2 linked regions of the Caenorhabditis elegans genome follow. The protein of the gene in region 1 interacts with the protein of each later gene in a pairwise test. Each region holds a gene or a part of one and is shown in the gene's direction. Other genes may lie near its edges.

The links. Proteins that work in one complex are often made in the same cells at the same time.
Region 2: the proteins of exc-14 (region 1) and stam-1 interact in a two-hybrid assay, tested with the Caenorhabditis elegans proteins (one large-scale study listed by BioGRID).

Annotation. Positions count from the first base shown.
Region 1 is NC_003283.11:5,039,738-5,049,278, reverse strand, and holds exc-14 (RING-type domain-containing protein), read left to right. Parts: upstream 1-3,075; 5' UTR 3,076-3,110; coding exon 3,111-3,131; intron 3,132-3,551; coding exon 3,552-3,739; intron 3,740-3,838; coding exon 3,839-3,943; intron 3,944-4,718; coding exon 4,719-4,821; intron 4,822-4,875; coding exon 4,876-5,040; intron 5,041-5,097; coding exon 5,098-5,319; intron 5,320-5,365; coding exon 5,366-5,476; intron 5,477-6,559; coding exon 6,560-6,847; 3' UTR 6,848-6,901; downstream 6,902-9,541. Other genes in the region: K11D12.8 (uncharacterized protein), read left to right, coding at 8,284-8,440, 8,690-8,941, 9,518-9,541.
Region 2 is NC_003279.8:5,899,881-5,906,537, reverse strand, and holds stam-1 (Signal transducing adapter molecule 1), read left to right. Parts: upstream 1-1,842; 5' UTR 1,843-1,898; coding exon 1,899-1,904; intron 1,905-2,210; coding exon 2,211-2,318; intron 2,319-2,500; coding exon 2,501-2,692; intron 2,693-2,894; coding exon 2,895-3,092; intron 3,093-3,145; coding exon 3,146-3,396; intron 3,397-3,560; coding exon 3,561-3,993; coding exon of another isoform or gene 3,994-4,023; intron 4,024-4,090; coding exon 4,091-4,276; 3' UTR 4,277-4,433; downstream 4,434-6,657. Other genes in the region: tyr-4 (ShKT domain-containing protein), read right to left, coding at 4,504-4,928, 4,982-5,311, 5,679-6,013, 6,271-6,363, 6,410-6,657.

The DNA of each region.
Region 1 (9,541 bases):
ATTTCGAATTTTTTTCACAGAAATAGTGAAGTTGATAAAATGGAAAGTCGGAACTTACAATAAATAGTTAATACGATCTGTTTTTCAGTGATTTTTAGCAAGAATTAGTTGGAATTAGAAGAATTCTGGACAGAAGAGCACTTTTTTAGATTGAAAATTGTTAAATATAATACGATGAGTGTATTTGAACGGTTTAAATAAAGAAAATATGTACGACTGTGGCTTCGGGCTGATTCTCGCTCTTCACGTGGCAAGTGGATGTATCGTATGGACTTTGAACAACTACAACTTTTTTCGCGTTGGAGATAGAAACTAGCGATGAACTGACAAAATAAACATCACAAATAGGCGAGCATTTCCACAGTTGACAATTTTTTGATATCTCGTTCCACTAAAAAGATACAGCTATGATTTGATGATTGAAGTCCCAGATACGGTACCCTCTCTTAAAACCATCAAATCTCTGTTCTCGTTGAAGATACAAAAATATGTTCAACTGAGAAAATGTTAAGCAGATAAAAAACAACATTTACCAGCAAGAACTACATTTCTATCTACAAAAATAATAGAGATTTTGACTTTTGAAAATTGATCATCTTAAACTGGCCATGTCAAAAAATCCTGAACATTAAAATTGAGTTTTCTATCGGAAACATACTCTATATAAGATATCTAACAAATTTGTAGTTGACTACTTTCTTCTAATGTCTTTATTTTTTGAGTTATGAACTGATCTCTGATTTTCTCATAAATACGGCTTTCGGGGCCTGTAAAAAATTTGTCTTACTAGTTAGAAAAATATTGTCAACAGAAAAAATGTTCACAATGTCAAACTGAACATTTTGTTAGTTGACAACTTTTTTGTAACTTTCATAGGAGCGGAGATAGGAGCATCCAAAGTGTGAGGGCGCAGTAGAGTGGGTACTGTACCAAAGCACCCAACCTTCTAGATCAAATAACATCTTTCAACATTGACGGATTTTTATGTGTGATATGTCAAAATGTGCGTATTAAAAATTAGAACAATCGTATTGTTTCCGATTTTTGACTCCAAGCCAACTATTTCCTGAAAATTGCGAAAAATCTGAAAATTTGGTCATTTTAGTACTGTAGTCAACCTTCTAGATCAAATAACATCTTTCAACATTGACGGATTTTTATGTGTGATATGTTAAAATGTGCGTATTAAAAATTAGAACAATCGTATTGTTTCCGATTTTTGACTCCAAGCCAACTATTTCCTGAAAATTGCGAAAAATCTGAAAATTTGGTCATTTTAGTACTGTAGTCAACCTTCTAGATCAAATAACATCTTTCAACATTGACGGATTTTTATGTGTGATATGTTAAAATGTGCGTATTAAAAATTAGAACAATCGTATTGTTTCCGATTTTTGAAATCTTTCATTTTACGGTCACTAGCTTCCGGAAAGTGCTGAAATTTTGAGCTGTAATGTTTGATGTCACAAAAAGTTTCTCTCATAACTTATTTATTGGGGTTTTTTTGTATTAACTCATTAATTGGGAATATATTGAATACATTTTACAAAAAAAATTTGGGAAAAAATCTTAAACTTGCTCGTTTTAGAGGGGAATGTGTAATATTATGTTCACTCTCTTCACTTATTTCAATGACAAAACTATTCTGTGAAATTTATGCCAGACTGTAGAGGACAGTACTCTTTATCCGTTCCAATTGTTTCTTTTCAGAAATATGCAATTTCCTTTCTTCCCGACTCCTTCTAAGTGAGGTGGTTGAGCGCGCACTCTCGCCATGCTGTGGAGGTGAGAGACGCAGAGACCGCCTTTTTCTCTGCGCTCTCTCTGCGCATTTCACGTGGTGGAGGCCGTGGGGGATTACCAACTCGGGGGATTGGCCCCGCCCACAGAACCGTGGCTTGCAATACGCCCATTTCTGCAACTGCCGCACGGTTTTAAACCTGTATTTTTCTCAATAGAGCGAGAAATAACAAGAAAAAATAATTTTATAACCGTGCGGCAGTTGCAGAAATGGGCGTATTGCAAGCCACGGTTCTGTGGGCGGGGCCAATCCCCCGAGTTGGTAATCCCCCCAATTGGACATCCCCCGAGTTCTTCGGGTCTCTGTGGATCCACGTTCGGTGGAATTAAATAATCTAAAAACATAAATATAAATATTTTCACAATGTTTAAAACGGAAAACCTGAAAAAATACGAATAGCCACAATTATTTCCGTGCAATACTCGAGCTGCAGGATTTACAAAAAATAAAATTTCTAAATTGACTTTGAAAAAATATTTTCCAGTCTTTTTTTACTCGAATAAATGAAATTTAAAACTGAAATCGAAACTATTTTTAAATCAAAAATTCCTGAAATTGTTTCAAAATAAAAAATAAAAGCAAAAAAAAACGCGCAAAGTTCGAATTTATTTGGTCAAAAATTAAAAACGAGAAATTTTCGAAAACAAATTTCTCAAGCTAACACATTTCGTGACGGACCATCGTATGAAAATCCGTGCGCCTTTGAAGGGTTGGGTCTCGCAGCGCGTTTCAAGTTTACTGTAGAAAAATTCCAAGTCTGAAAGTTAGCTGTTTTTCTTTGTTTGTCCGTATTCAAGGGATTTAAGTGGACGGAAAACTATTTAAAAGTTTAAAAAATAAATTTAAAAAAAAAGAACAACTGATTGTGAGTTCCTACAAAAACTGTAATCTGTATCCGATTCCTTTTTTCCAGACTTTATGGCTGTTCTCCTTCGTCGTTCCATTTTTTTTTCAGAATTCAAACTCAACAACCCACCGCATTGATACCCGAAAAACTTGACGTACTAAACAATAATCGGATTGGTGGCAATCGCGGAAAACTTCAAATGCATAAATTTTCAGCACTCGTCGTTTTTCCACCTCTTCTGCCATTCTGCTTCCATTCCAAGTTTTTATTGTTTGTTTGCACAATGTGCAACTTCACGCCTATATGATAACATCTGTTTCCTCATTTTTTTTTGTACTTTTTCACGATTCACCTTTTGTTTGATTAGCCTTTTTTTTGCATATGCAATTCTTGAGTCAATAAAAAAAGTTTGAAAAACTATTTTGAGGTAATAATTCCCTAGGATTATCAATTTCATCGACTATGACTGATCTTTCCATCCATGTAAGTTTGGCGCTTTTTTCAGTTGGATTTTCGAGTCAAAAGTACGGTACTCGGTCTCGACACGAATAATTGTTTTTAAAGTTCAGAACGGCGTGCGCCTTTAAAAAGCACTGTAGTTTCAAAATTTCGTCGCTGTAACAATACACAAATCCATGAGAAAAACTTTTAAAAATCAATGAAAATTTCGAAGTTTGAAATTACAGTAGTCTTTAAAGGCGCACATCTTTTTCGCATTTAACAAAAAATAGTCATGTCGGGACCAGCTACCGTATTTTTGTCGAAAAATCTCTCTGCTTGTCTAGAAATGTTTGAATTAATGTTTGAAATTTGTAGATAAATAATTAAATTGATATAGTAACTTAAATAAAACGAAACTTCAGTTTTTTTTTTCAATTATTCCAAATGTTTAATTTCGTGTAGGATCAAATAAAGTTGGCATCCGAGTGGGGTTACAACCAAGAAGAGATCATCTCCGCTCTGAAAGCCAACTCGAAAGAAGGTTCGAAAGAATTCGAGCGATTCGAGAACTTTGATGTTATGCTGGACATTCTGAATAAAGTGACAGGGAAAGGAGACTCCCGGTCGAGCAGGAAACATAATAGTCCAGGGTAAGCAGGTAAAGGCCAGGCAGGCAGGCAGGCAGGTGTTTTGCCGCCTACCTAGTAAATTGAGCAGACTTTCCATTTTTTGAAAATTTTGGTTTTCAGAGATTTGATGTCAAGCTCTGTGACAAGTTTACACCCGCATAGTTCCAAGTCTCATCGAAATCTTTCGGTTGGGAGATCTTCATCGTTTCATTTGTCAACTCCAAGGCAAGTATATTACCGATACGCAATAATTTGCGACTTTTGCGCCGAAAATACGGTCTCAGGTCTCGACACGACATTATTTTTCCAAATGCGAAAAGGTGTGCGCCTTTAAAGATTACAGTAGTATCAAATTTTTTCAAAATTTGTTAAAATTCACATTATAGTTATATTTGAGTTTAGAAAATAATACATTTAGATATATTTTTATCTACGTGATGTCAGGATGTCTCATTGCGGTTTGATCTACAAAAAATGCGGGAAATTTTTCCCAGAAAATTGTGACGTCAGCACTCTTAATCATGCGAAATCAGTTGAGATATCTTCGTCTCACCTCCCGCATTTTTCGTAGATCAAAGCGGAATGGGGCTTTCTGACTCCACGTGCTTATCGTAAATCAATGAAAATTCCGCACCAACAAAAATTTGAATGTACAGTAATCTTTAAAGGAGCGCACTTTCTGAAATTAGACACAAACTTGTCGTGCCGAGACCGGGTACCATATTTTTGTACGAAAATCGCAAAACTGCTTTTACAATATATTTTGTGTCAGCCCCTGCAAAAGTCAATTTCGAGGTAAAGTCCTAAAAAACCTGAATGTAAGTGTGCACTTTAGTTGACATTAAAATGATAAAATTTGTCGCAATTTTTCAAAAAACCTTTTTTTTTACTATTTTTCAAGTTCAGAAGTGTCTGCAAAATATTGTGATATACAAAAACTGCATCTTGAAAGTAAAACTAACACAATAAATGTTCCTGACCTAATCCTCTTAACCTCCAGAAGTACCCGCGACTCCCACGACATTGTTCGCCTTCTCGCCACACTGGAAAGAGAAAAAGAACGTGATCGAAAGGAGGTCGATAGTCAATTCACTATTCTTAAGGTAGTGACCTTGTTTATGAACTTTCTCTCTCATAACTAGTTTGAGTCTTTTCAGAATAGAATAAACCATTTAGAAAATGAAAAAGAACAGTGTTTGTCAGAAGTTCAAGAATTGAAGCGGCTTCTGGAAGATTCGGAGCAAGATTTGAAAGATTGTAAAGATGAGATGAATAGGCTGATGGAAGAGAGAGTAGAGACAGCTGATGCACTTGATAAACTGGTTGGTTACTTGGAAATTGACATTTTTTAACCTTTAACTATAACATTAGCTCTCTAGACAATCCAAAACTACCGCCAACAACAAGAAATTCACGACCAAAAAGAGCTGTCTGAGCATCGTAAAAAAATTTATTCTGAAGAGAAAGCACGAAAAGACGAGGAGATTTTGAACCTTCAAAAGCAGAAGACCGACGTCGAGATGGAGCTGGAACGGAAGAGTAACCTGTTGGATGAACAGACTAATGTTACAAAACGAATGGAGGAGAAAAGTTATCAATTGGTTGGTTATTTAACAGTTATATTAAGGAATATTTTAATTATTCCAGAAGCCATTGGTGCTGCTCGATGAATTAACAAAGAAACACAGTCAACTTGTCGACCTTTCAACTGAATTTTTGCCAAACATCAATGCTGTCAAAATGCTCTACAAAGAATTGGTTAGTTGAAACTTGCTATATTCTGTACGGGTTAATTATCACATTTTTATCAACGTTTTCAAAACTTATTGGCATTGTTCAACGTAAAAATGTAAAAATTTGATTTTATTACTCATATTTTAAGCGCTAATACTAAAAAAACAAATGTAGATCAATTCAAAAGAGTAGCGTCTGTGGGTTTATTTACATCTAATGGGGTTATTCAAGTATTGTCGGAAAATTTAAAAGTGTAGAAAAATTACGTCACAACTGTATTCAAGTACATAAAAATATGTATTTAAATACATATGTGACGTCAGAAATGTATTTAAATACATTCTGCTACATTACTTGAATAACCCCATAAATGGCACACAACTGTTTCAATACATCGAATGCAACTGTCATTAATTCATAGAATATTCCTTTTTTTGAAAAATATTTTCAATTTTGCAAAAAAAAAATTCAAATGAATGGCCATGTAGTTTTAATTTTTTTTCGGTTATTTTAATTTTTTTGTTTTAAATTTTTTTTTGAAACACAACAATTTTAAAATTTTCTGATATTTTTCCGCATGTTGAGCTAATTTTAGAGCTTCAGTGAATATTTTTGGATTATTAAGTTTTCAATGGAAAAATGTCTGAAAAATTTACAAATCATGTTCAAAATCAATAATCCCAATAAGGTTATCCGAAAAAAAAAACGCGGAAATGTTGAAGCTAGGTTATTAATTTTGGCATTAAATTCGAAAATAACTCAGCCAAATTTTTGAACAAACTTGAAAAAAAAATCATAAAAAATTTTGGGGCGAAAACCCACAGACGTAGAAGTCGTCAATTTCCGGGAAAAAAAAACAGTAATTCGTCAAACTTTCGTACATTTTCGGAGAATTTTTTCGCATTTTTAAAGTAAAGTAAATAATATTTTAATATTTATCAAATTGTGTTTTATTTTTTGACACAATCGCTTAAAACTGCCAAAAAAAAGTTTCCGCACTTTATCCTTGATCTGAAATGTTTTCCAAACATTATTTTGTCATTGCAAGCCCTATGTAATAATATTTTCAACTATTTCGATTCCTTTTCTCATAGATTTTTATTTCAGTTTGAGAGTTTCCCACAACTAGAGACCAATGTTCACGAATCAAAACTCTCAATGGAACGTCGTGTCGAGGAAGTCGAAGAGCAACTTCGATCACGTAATCGCGATTTTCAACGTCTTCAGGAGAAGCTGGTAGCCGAGTGTTGCATATGTTTGGCAACAAAACCATCAATTGTTTTCATGCCGTGTCGTCATCTGATCACATGTTCCGGCTGCTACGATGCAAGCGATTTTCGAGAGTGTCCAACGTGCAGGTCGACAATTGAAAATTCAATAACAGTGTTCATGTGAACAATACAACTAAACATTTATTTTGTTTTCATAAATGTTTTGATCAATTGGTAATATATGTAGTAGTGTGATATTACAAAGTAGCACGAGATAGAATTAAAGTTATGGTATCTAGCAACAAATATCTAGATCCTAAATTTTGAAAATAATGCGATATTGTTTTGAATCGTGATGAGATTATCGGAATGCACAACTTTCAGTTTTGCATAAAATAATGGAAAATAGATTTAAAAATTTTCAAAATTTTGGATTTTTCAAATTTTGCAAAGAAAATTTCGAATTTCGGATTAACCCAGGTAAACTTTTTTTGGAGTTTTCGGGGCAAATTAAAATTAATTTTCTTGGTTTGTTACCTTCACAAACGGACACTATTAAAAAAATCAGTTAAATTTCCCGAAAAACGGGCAAAAAGTTGGTTTCTTTTACAAAATATTGTATTAAAAATCTGAAAAAAATTTATAATGTTTTTAAAATGTTTCTTAACAGTTCAAATCAGTTTCACGACCCATTTTAAATGATTGAAAAATTAAATTTTTCAAAATTTTTTGTGATTTTTTAAAATTTTGCACAAAAAATTTTGAATGACTGATTAGCCCAGGTTAACTTTTTTAGAGTTTTTCGGCAAATTCAAATAGATTTGCTTGTTTTGTAGAAACTGTAAAAAATCAATTAAATTTGCGGAAAAATGGTTAAAAAATAAGCCTTTTTGCAAAATATTTTTTCAAAGTATCATAAAAAAAATTAGAATAATTTTCAAATGTTTTTCAACAGTTCAATTCGGTTTCACGACCCTTTTTTTTCGATAAATATTTTACAATATTACGTGGACTCTAAAATTGGATTTTTTGCCATATTTCACGCGTTTGGGTCTCACCACGCTTCCAACAAATTACTGTAATTTGTGTCATTTTATGGTAAGTTTATATAAAGTTTAAAGCTAAATTATTTTTGAAATCCCCTCAAAAAAATTGTAGCAACAAATTTTCGTTTATGTATCGTAATTTGAAACTTTTGATGCAATTTATGGTCATAAATTGTTACAAGTTACTATAACTCATGGTCAGCGTGGCAAGACCCATTTTCCCGTTTTTCAAGAATTCAAAAACTCTCCCGCAATTTCCATATTGTTGACTAACAACAAAAAAGAAAAGAAGCGCCTCTCGATTCCCTCCCCATCGCATAAAAATAACGGGCAAAGGAATAAAATCGAATAATCGATCAAACCGAAACGAACAAAAACAGAAACGGGACAGATAGATGGGGAAGAGAAAAATGAAGAAAAATCAGTATTATCACCGTCACCAAAATTCACTTTTTTTTTTTCTGTCCCTCCATCTTTTTCTCTTTTTACCTACTCTCTGTCAAAACATGTCAAAACGACAAAAACAACGTAGTACTCGCACCACTCCCCTCTTACGTAGTACTATCAATTTCAGATGGTTGAAGAGGTAATCGGTTTTCGATCGAAACGTAGCATGCTCTACGCAACATTTTACGCCAAATATCAGGATATGGAGGATATGGCTACAACGACACCAGGGCTCATGGCAGCTGAGAATCCATTTAATTTAGATAATATTGGAGATGGATTCGGTATGTTCTAGAAATATCAGTAGTTTGCATGTCTTTAATTATGTAGCAGGTGTGGGCGTCAATTAAAGTTTTTCGGCGATTTGAAATATATCGCGTTCAAACAAATTTTAGATCAAGAACTTAAAAAATTAGCAAAACCCAATTTTTGAAGTAATTGGAATTTTTTCCGATTACATATTCTACAATTGCCGATTTTGAAATTTTTGGAAATTTCCGCTCAGCCTAACTAGTAAGCTTTGCTCATTCCAGATGTGTGGACACGTGGCGAGACACAGCTTCTAGTCCTGGCTGTAATCGTTGTAATTCTTGCGTTGATATTTGCTGCAATTGTTGCAATGGATTGCGGGAGAAATGGACCACCGATGATGAGATCGGGAACACTTCGAGACATCGTATGGAACAATGCTAATCGGCGAAGAAGGAATGATTCTCAGAGAAATGAGACGGGAAGATCTGAAACTGGAAGATCTGGAACTGACAACTCGTTTGGAGATTTGAAAGGTGCATTTTTGTATAACTTTCGCATGTTGGAACCCCTAAAGTGACGGTATATGAATTTTTAAACATAGTTAAAATATTGAACTAAAATAATTTTTTTTGATCTACGGCTTCCAGAAAAATAGGTAAAAACTGAGTTTCCCCGATTTTAGCCTCGAAAAAATGGTACATTTTTTTGTAAAACCTAGTTATGTTTTTTCCAAAGATTGACAGTACCCAATGTCCGTTTAATTTTATTTTCAACACTTCAAAATTAATATTTACTTTAGTTAGCAGTTTTTCGTGTAGACACAAAGCAGATACAAAATTGGAATTGAAGATATTTATATGTTCCCATCGATGACGTTTTTAGAGAAAATTAGAACAAAATTCAAGCATTTCTGCAATTTTGAAACAAATCCCAAACAAAAAAAACATAACACGCAATTATTTTCTCATGATAAATCAAACTTCCAGATTCTTTCCAATTTAACAATTGGATCAGTTGAATAAAATCTAAAATAAATATTTGACGAAACAAAATAACAAACATTAATTCTGGAGCAAGAAACATCTGTTATTCATTTTCTCATTTTACAGCCCCGCCGCTCAGCTACTTGGCGC
Region 2 (6,657 bases), on another chromosome or scaffold:
TATTCAGAACAGACATTAGGAATATTATTTTTAACAACCTATTAGTTGTTCTCTTGAAGGTTGGCTACTGCCAGTGGGGAATGTGTAAAATAATTCCTATGCTGTGACCAAATGACTAAATGTCATAATAAAATTGTCAAAAAATTTGGAAATTATGGAATTTTTCTTCGATTTTTTGACTTAATTATGTTTAAAATACTTATATTCCAACATTGTGGAGATTCAAACATGCGACAGTGATTTAGATTTTTCAAATTTGACTCGAAATAAAAAATTCCAAAATTTTTTGAAAATCTTTATAACGAGATTCGGTAATTTCAACAGCATATGAATAGTTTTTAATAATTTCCCCATTAGTCGTAGTCCACTTTTAACTTTAATTAATAATTAAAACCATTAAGGTTTAAAACCGAATTTCAAAAAAAAATTTCGATATAGAAGACTAAGAATAAAATATAACTTTAAAGAAAGAAGTTATGAAAGTTTTTGTGAGTAAAATGAGTACCAATGTGTATTTTGGGAGGCACGGGGTTGGTGATGAACATTATGTGTTGTATTACGCATGCCATAGACCAGTTTTGCGCGGATTGCATGATCAAGTCGATTGACTTTTCGTCTTTTTCGATTAAATTGATAACCGATCCAGAATAATACTTATATAATTTCATTGAATTACAAAATTCAAATGAGTTAGTAAAAAACTAGAACATTCAGTAAAATTTCAAAGCTATTTGCAAACCACAAACTTGAAATTTGAAAAAAATCAAACATGGAAACTCTAGACAGTGTACACAGGACAAATTACACTGATTAATCTATATCAACTCGCCAAGTTTACAAAATTTCGTCGAAAAACTGATAAGCACATGCAAAAATTCGTGTGAATTGGCTCTAGATAGAAAAATATGAATTGGCTCTAGATAGAAAAAATAACTAAATCGATAATGTTTCGTGTCGTTTTCGATGTATTTTTATGGCTCGCTATCGGCAGCAGCTACCGCTTGTGGCTGTTGTTGGGCCCCTTTTTGACGAATTAGGTGAAGAGAATCGAACGGAAATGAAAATTTATATGAACACAGAGTGGAAGAGTGGTGAGAGAGAGAGAAAAGAACGAAAAGCAGGTGGAATCAACAATGAAAGTGCAAACAATTGTGCTTATAAACAATTTGGATTTGGATTTTTTTTCAACAATTTTTAAAAATTCTATTACGATGAGAAGTAAGAAATATGAATGGAATAAATAGAAGTCTGAACAAATTTTTTTGAAAACGAAAAATTGAACATTTTGTTACGAAGCGTTTTCAGGTTCTAAAGTATTATTTTTTAGGAAAAAACATTAAAAACGTCCCAGTAATCTACTTTTAATAATTTTGAACTAATTATTGAGTAACATTTAGTTTTAAAAGTTTAGAAAAAGCATGGACACTGAAAATTAAAAAAAAACATGTTTAAACAGAGAAAAAAATTTGAAAGATTAAAGGAGCGCGCGATTTGTAGCATGAGGGTCTGCCACGAATTCTACAGTTGTTCAGATCATTTTTTTTGAATTATTCCACAATCTTTCTTCTCTTTGGAATTTAATTTTTCTCGAAAGTTATTTAATTTTTCTATAAAAATGTGCATTGCAGTTTTAAAATGTTTTTTTTTTCAATTAAACGCATGAATGTGATTGGTACACGCGTGAGACGCAAGTTCTCGAAAATCTGCGATTGCGAAAGGCAAAAGTATTCATTTTTTCGAAAAAATAAACAAATTGCTCAAACTAAATTGAATATCGATCGTCTTTGCCCTCAATATTTTAAATATCACGCTTTTGAAAATTATTTCGAAATAAATATTCAGTTTCAGTGAGACTCATTCAATTGAACCTGATCACGTGCTGAAAGTCTGCTGTAACAATGAAGGTTTGTTCGTTTTCCTATCTCTACTTTAATTAAAAATAGTGTTAAGAGTAATTGTTCATTCAAATAGATTTTTTTTCATTCAGTAAAAAATGATTAAGTTTTCGGAAAGGAAGAAAACAAAACAAAAACATAGAAAAAAGTGTGCACGAACGAACACACAAAGCATATGCGTCAGTGTCTTAACCCGTCTAATGTCTCTTCATCCCCCTACACTCTCTCTTTCAGTTCACCCGACTAACACATTCAACAAGCAAACCCGTTATTGATTCAATTTTCTTTCGTAATATTCCTTTTTTATATTTTCAGAAACAAAAGTCATTTCCAATGTCTGCTTATGAGGATTTGCTCGGAAAAATCACTGCTCCAACTATCACTGTTGAGAATTGGGAGGGAATTCTCGCATTTTGTGATATGGTTCGTTCAATTTGTTTTAAAAAATGTATAAACCTTTTCACTGATTTATAGATAGAATTCTTTGTCGTTTGATAAAAAATCATATTTTAAAATTAAAATTTCCTCCTTAAATTTGCTAGCTGATTTTCACCGAAAATCATTGATTTTGGACTAAACTTAATGTTTTAGTTTAAAATTTTCAGATTAATAACGACTTCGAGGGATCGAAAACAGGAATCAAATCACTTCGTAAACGTCTCAACAATCGTGATCCTCATGTTGTCCTTCTAGCGATTTCTGTACTTGATTCGTGTTGGGCAAACTGTGAAGAAAGATTCAGAAAGGAAGTATCGTCTGCACAATTTATCAATGAACTCAAAGCTCTTTGTACATCGGTGAGTTTTTGTTTAAATCTGAAATTGTTAAACAAAATATCAAAATTTCTTTCATGAAGTTTTGTATTTCTTTAATAGATATAGTATACGCAGAAAAGAGATAAAAAAGAGAAATAGAGTTAGAAAAATAAGTATAATACGAAAATACGATACATTTCACCGCGTTTACAAAAAAAAATACAAAAATTTACAATTATTATAGAGTCAACGCCAAGTTGCTGAAAAAATGCGATTAACTGTTCAAAAATGGGTGGATACAGAATGCAAAACTGAACAATCACTGTCACTTATCGTCACTCTTCACAAAAATCTTGTTGCTGATGGCTACTCATTTGTTGTGGATGATCCAAAAAGTAAAACGAAAGCGATTGATGCAAAGTTTGCAAATGATCCGAATTATGTGAGTTGTGGAAGTTCGCGGCAATAAATATCAAAAATTAATAATTATTATAGGTTGGATCTGCTCAGGAAGAAGAAGCAATCGCAAAAGCCATTGCTGCTTCATTGGCGGATGCAGAGAAACAGGAAAAAGCAAAAAAATCAACATCCACAATGTATCCATCAGCAAAAGCAAGTAGTCCAGCAGTTCAGACTAATTCGAATATTCCGGAAAAGAATGTTCGAGCGTTATACGATTTTGAGGCTGCTGAAAGCAATGAATTATCTTTTGTTGCTGGAGATATTATTACAATTACTGATGAAAGGTAAGCAACAAAAATGTGTTCTAGTTTAAATTGAAAGCAATCGCTTAAAAATCAAATCAGGAAGTTCTTCAGTTTTTTTTTTTGTAATTTAAAATTAATCATACCGAACCTTTTCGTTACTGACTGCTTCTATCAATTATCAAAAAAAAAACAATTTTTTGCAGCAATCCCCACTGGTGGACTGGTCGTATTGGTACCCAACAGGGACTTTTCCCATCCAGCTTCGTTACTAATCAACTCGATGATCTAAAATCAAAAGAGACGGATTCATCACAGAAAGCCCCAGAAGTTGTAGCCTCAATTAATGAAGCAATCCTTGTTCGTTGTCTTCAAGTACTCCATGAATGTGATCCTACCGGTGAACGACAGGATCCAGAGGATTTGGCCCAACTAGAAGCCGCCTCGTATGCTCAAGGAAATCTCATTGATGCACATTTGGCTAGTATTGATCGACAGAGCAACTCTCTAGCACAAATCGATGTGGCTATTCGTGATGTGCTCGCACTTTATGATGATGCGATTCAGAAGGGAGGATTTCAGCATCAAAGTCAAGGAATGTACCAACAACCAATGCAACAGTACAACTATCAGCAACCAGTCAGTTTTTATTCAGAAAAAAATATTTAGAAAACTGAAATTTTTCATTCTAAGCTTCACGGTAATGCCTATCAATTCAAAAAATCGTATTTTTCAGCCAAACCGAGCATATTACCCACCTACCGGTCCTGTCCAACAACAGCAGCCACAACAATATCCTCCACAACACTATCCGGCTCCTGGAGCACAACCACAGTACGCATGCCCACCGAATTCTGTTCCCCAACCTCAACAACAGCAACAACAATGGCCTGCTCCGTCTTCACAGCCTCAACAATATTAACTTTTTGATTTGTTGTGAATATCACCTTTTCCTCCTTGAATCTGTAACTAGTTCCATTGATATTGTGATCACTTCTAACTTATTTTTCTCGATTCGCCACCCGTTTCTGTATAGTCTTTTGCTTCCTCGAGTTCTCGATAAGATAAAAATGAATTCTTTATTGAGTTTGAGGCAAATATTTATTATACACGAAAATAATCGGATAAATTGAGAAAAGGTAACAAAAATTACAAGAGGTCCGGATCAAAAGATGGCATTGAAATTGATGCATTGGCTGCTCGAATGGATCGTTTACCCCATCCACCGCCTCCCCATCCACCTCCACCCCATCCACCTCTTCCACCACCCCATCTTGATCCTCCCCATGGATCATTGTTTCCCCATCCACCACCTCCATTTCCACCCCATCCTCCATTATCTCCGAAATCGTCACGTCCCCAACCTCCACGTGGTGGTTGACGAGATGGATTAGTCTGACGAACTTGTGCAACTGGAGCAACTGATCCAGCTGTAGTTCCACACATTCTACGAAGCTCTGATTGAGTATAGCAACTGTTACAGCTTGATCTACAATTCTCAGCCATCCATGGATTTTTCTGACATTCACCGACACGAGCCCATCCGGCACATGATCTATGGTAGTCGACGCATGCTGAAATATATATTTTTTAATTATAAAAATATTTTTTTAAAAATAAAGCTTACATCCATAATTGTAATCTTCAGGATAGCAATGTCCACATGAAACTCGACAATTACATGCCATATATCTTGTATTTTTTCGGCATTCTCCCATTAATCCCCATACAGCACAGCAAACATTCTCATTGAAACAACCATCAGAATTATCACACTGTTGAGCTGGAGCAGGTGTCGTCGTGGTTACTGTAGTACCACCTCCTCCACACTCTTGAGCACGTGATCTACCACATTTATTACAACTTTTACGGCAATTTTCAGTCATCCAGAGTTGATTTTTGGTGCATTCACCGGAGCGGGACCAGCTACTGCATTGGGTATGACGATCAGTGCAATCTGGAAAATTATCGTAATTTTGCAGTTTTTCGATACACGAACTTAGAGGTGCATGGGTTTATTTGGTTTTTATGGGGCTTGGAGGAACTTTTATTATTTTTGGTCAGTTTTTATTTGTTTCATTTATGTGAGAGTTTATATTTTTCAATTTTATCTTTCTAAACATGAACGGCGCCGGAAAAATCTAATAAAGATACCATAAACTTTTTCCCGGTGGGACCCTTTCAAATAACCCCATGTACCTTTAATTTTCTGAAATTGCCAAATTACAATAGCAAACTTTTTAAAAAGAATTTTACCGAAAAAACCCTTGTGGTAATTTAAATATTTTTTAATTAAAAAATCCTAAAATACAAAATACACTCACCATCAGCCAGTCGATATTTGGGTTTACAAACACCACAACTGGCCTTACACCATTCATTCATATAAGCCGTATTCCTCGAACATTCCCCAGATGCTGCCCATGATGCACAACACTGATTCTCATTGAAACATGATTCTTGAGATTGTACTGGATTTTGAGGTGTTGGAGTTGTTGGAGCAGGTGTTGGACGTGGAGCTGTTGATGAGAGAACACATACACCGTTTTGGCAGATTCCTGAGAAACATGGATTCACACGGAATTGACCACATTGAGATCCTGGACGAATACGAGATACACAACGGGCGGCCCCGGTGGAAGTGTCACAGAAAAGGAATCTGAAATTTACAAATTCCAGTAAGTCTTCCACGGTAGACATCAAGAATATTCCAAATTTTTAGTGTGTGAAAATGTATCATCAAAAATGATCTTATATCTTGTACGACAATCTTTCAAGTTTCACATGAATTTTTTATCTTGAAAGTTTTTGATTCTAAAAAAATTAAACCCTGCCAAAAAATAGCATAGCTGTAATTTTTCAAATATTTGCGTAACATTTCCTAGGTTATTCTGATAATTTTCAAAAAAGTCTCACTTAGAACCGCAATCGCCTCCAGCTTGACATGTTGGCCGTGGTGCATAACTATACAAGTTATCTGTATATTTATTGGATAAACCATCGATATTTCTGAAAATAATTACATTTCCCTGTAATCAATTCACAGTTTCTTTACCTCATTGGACTGAACGGCTGCATTGGAGATGCTCCAAAATGTTGTGCAGAAGCACATAATTGATTATCAGGAGGGAATGCAATTTCCCGATCAGCTCTTGATTGTCTTGCCAATCTCCATTCTTCCCATACAAAATCAATAAATGCATGATGAAGGAAAAATGAAGGATCATTTGAAGAAGTTGCAGTGTCGAACATATCTCCTCCAACAAAAATGTGAACATTTCCATGAGTATATTCAAGACAATT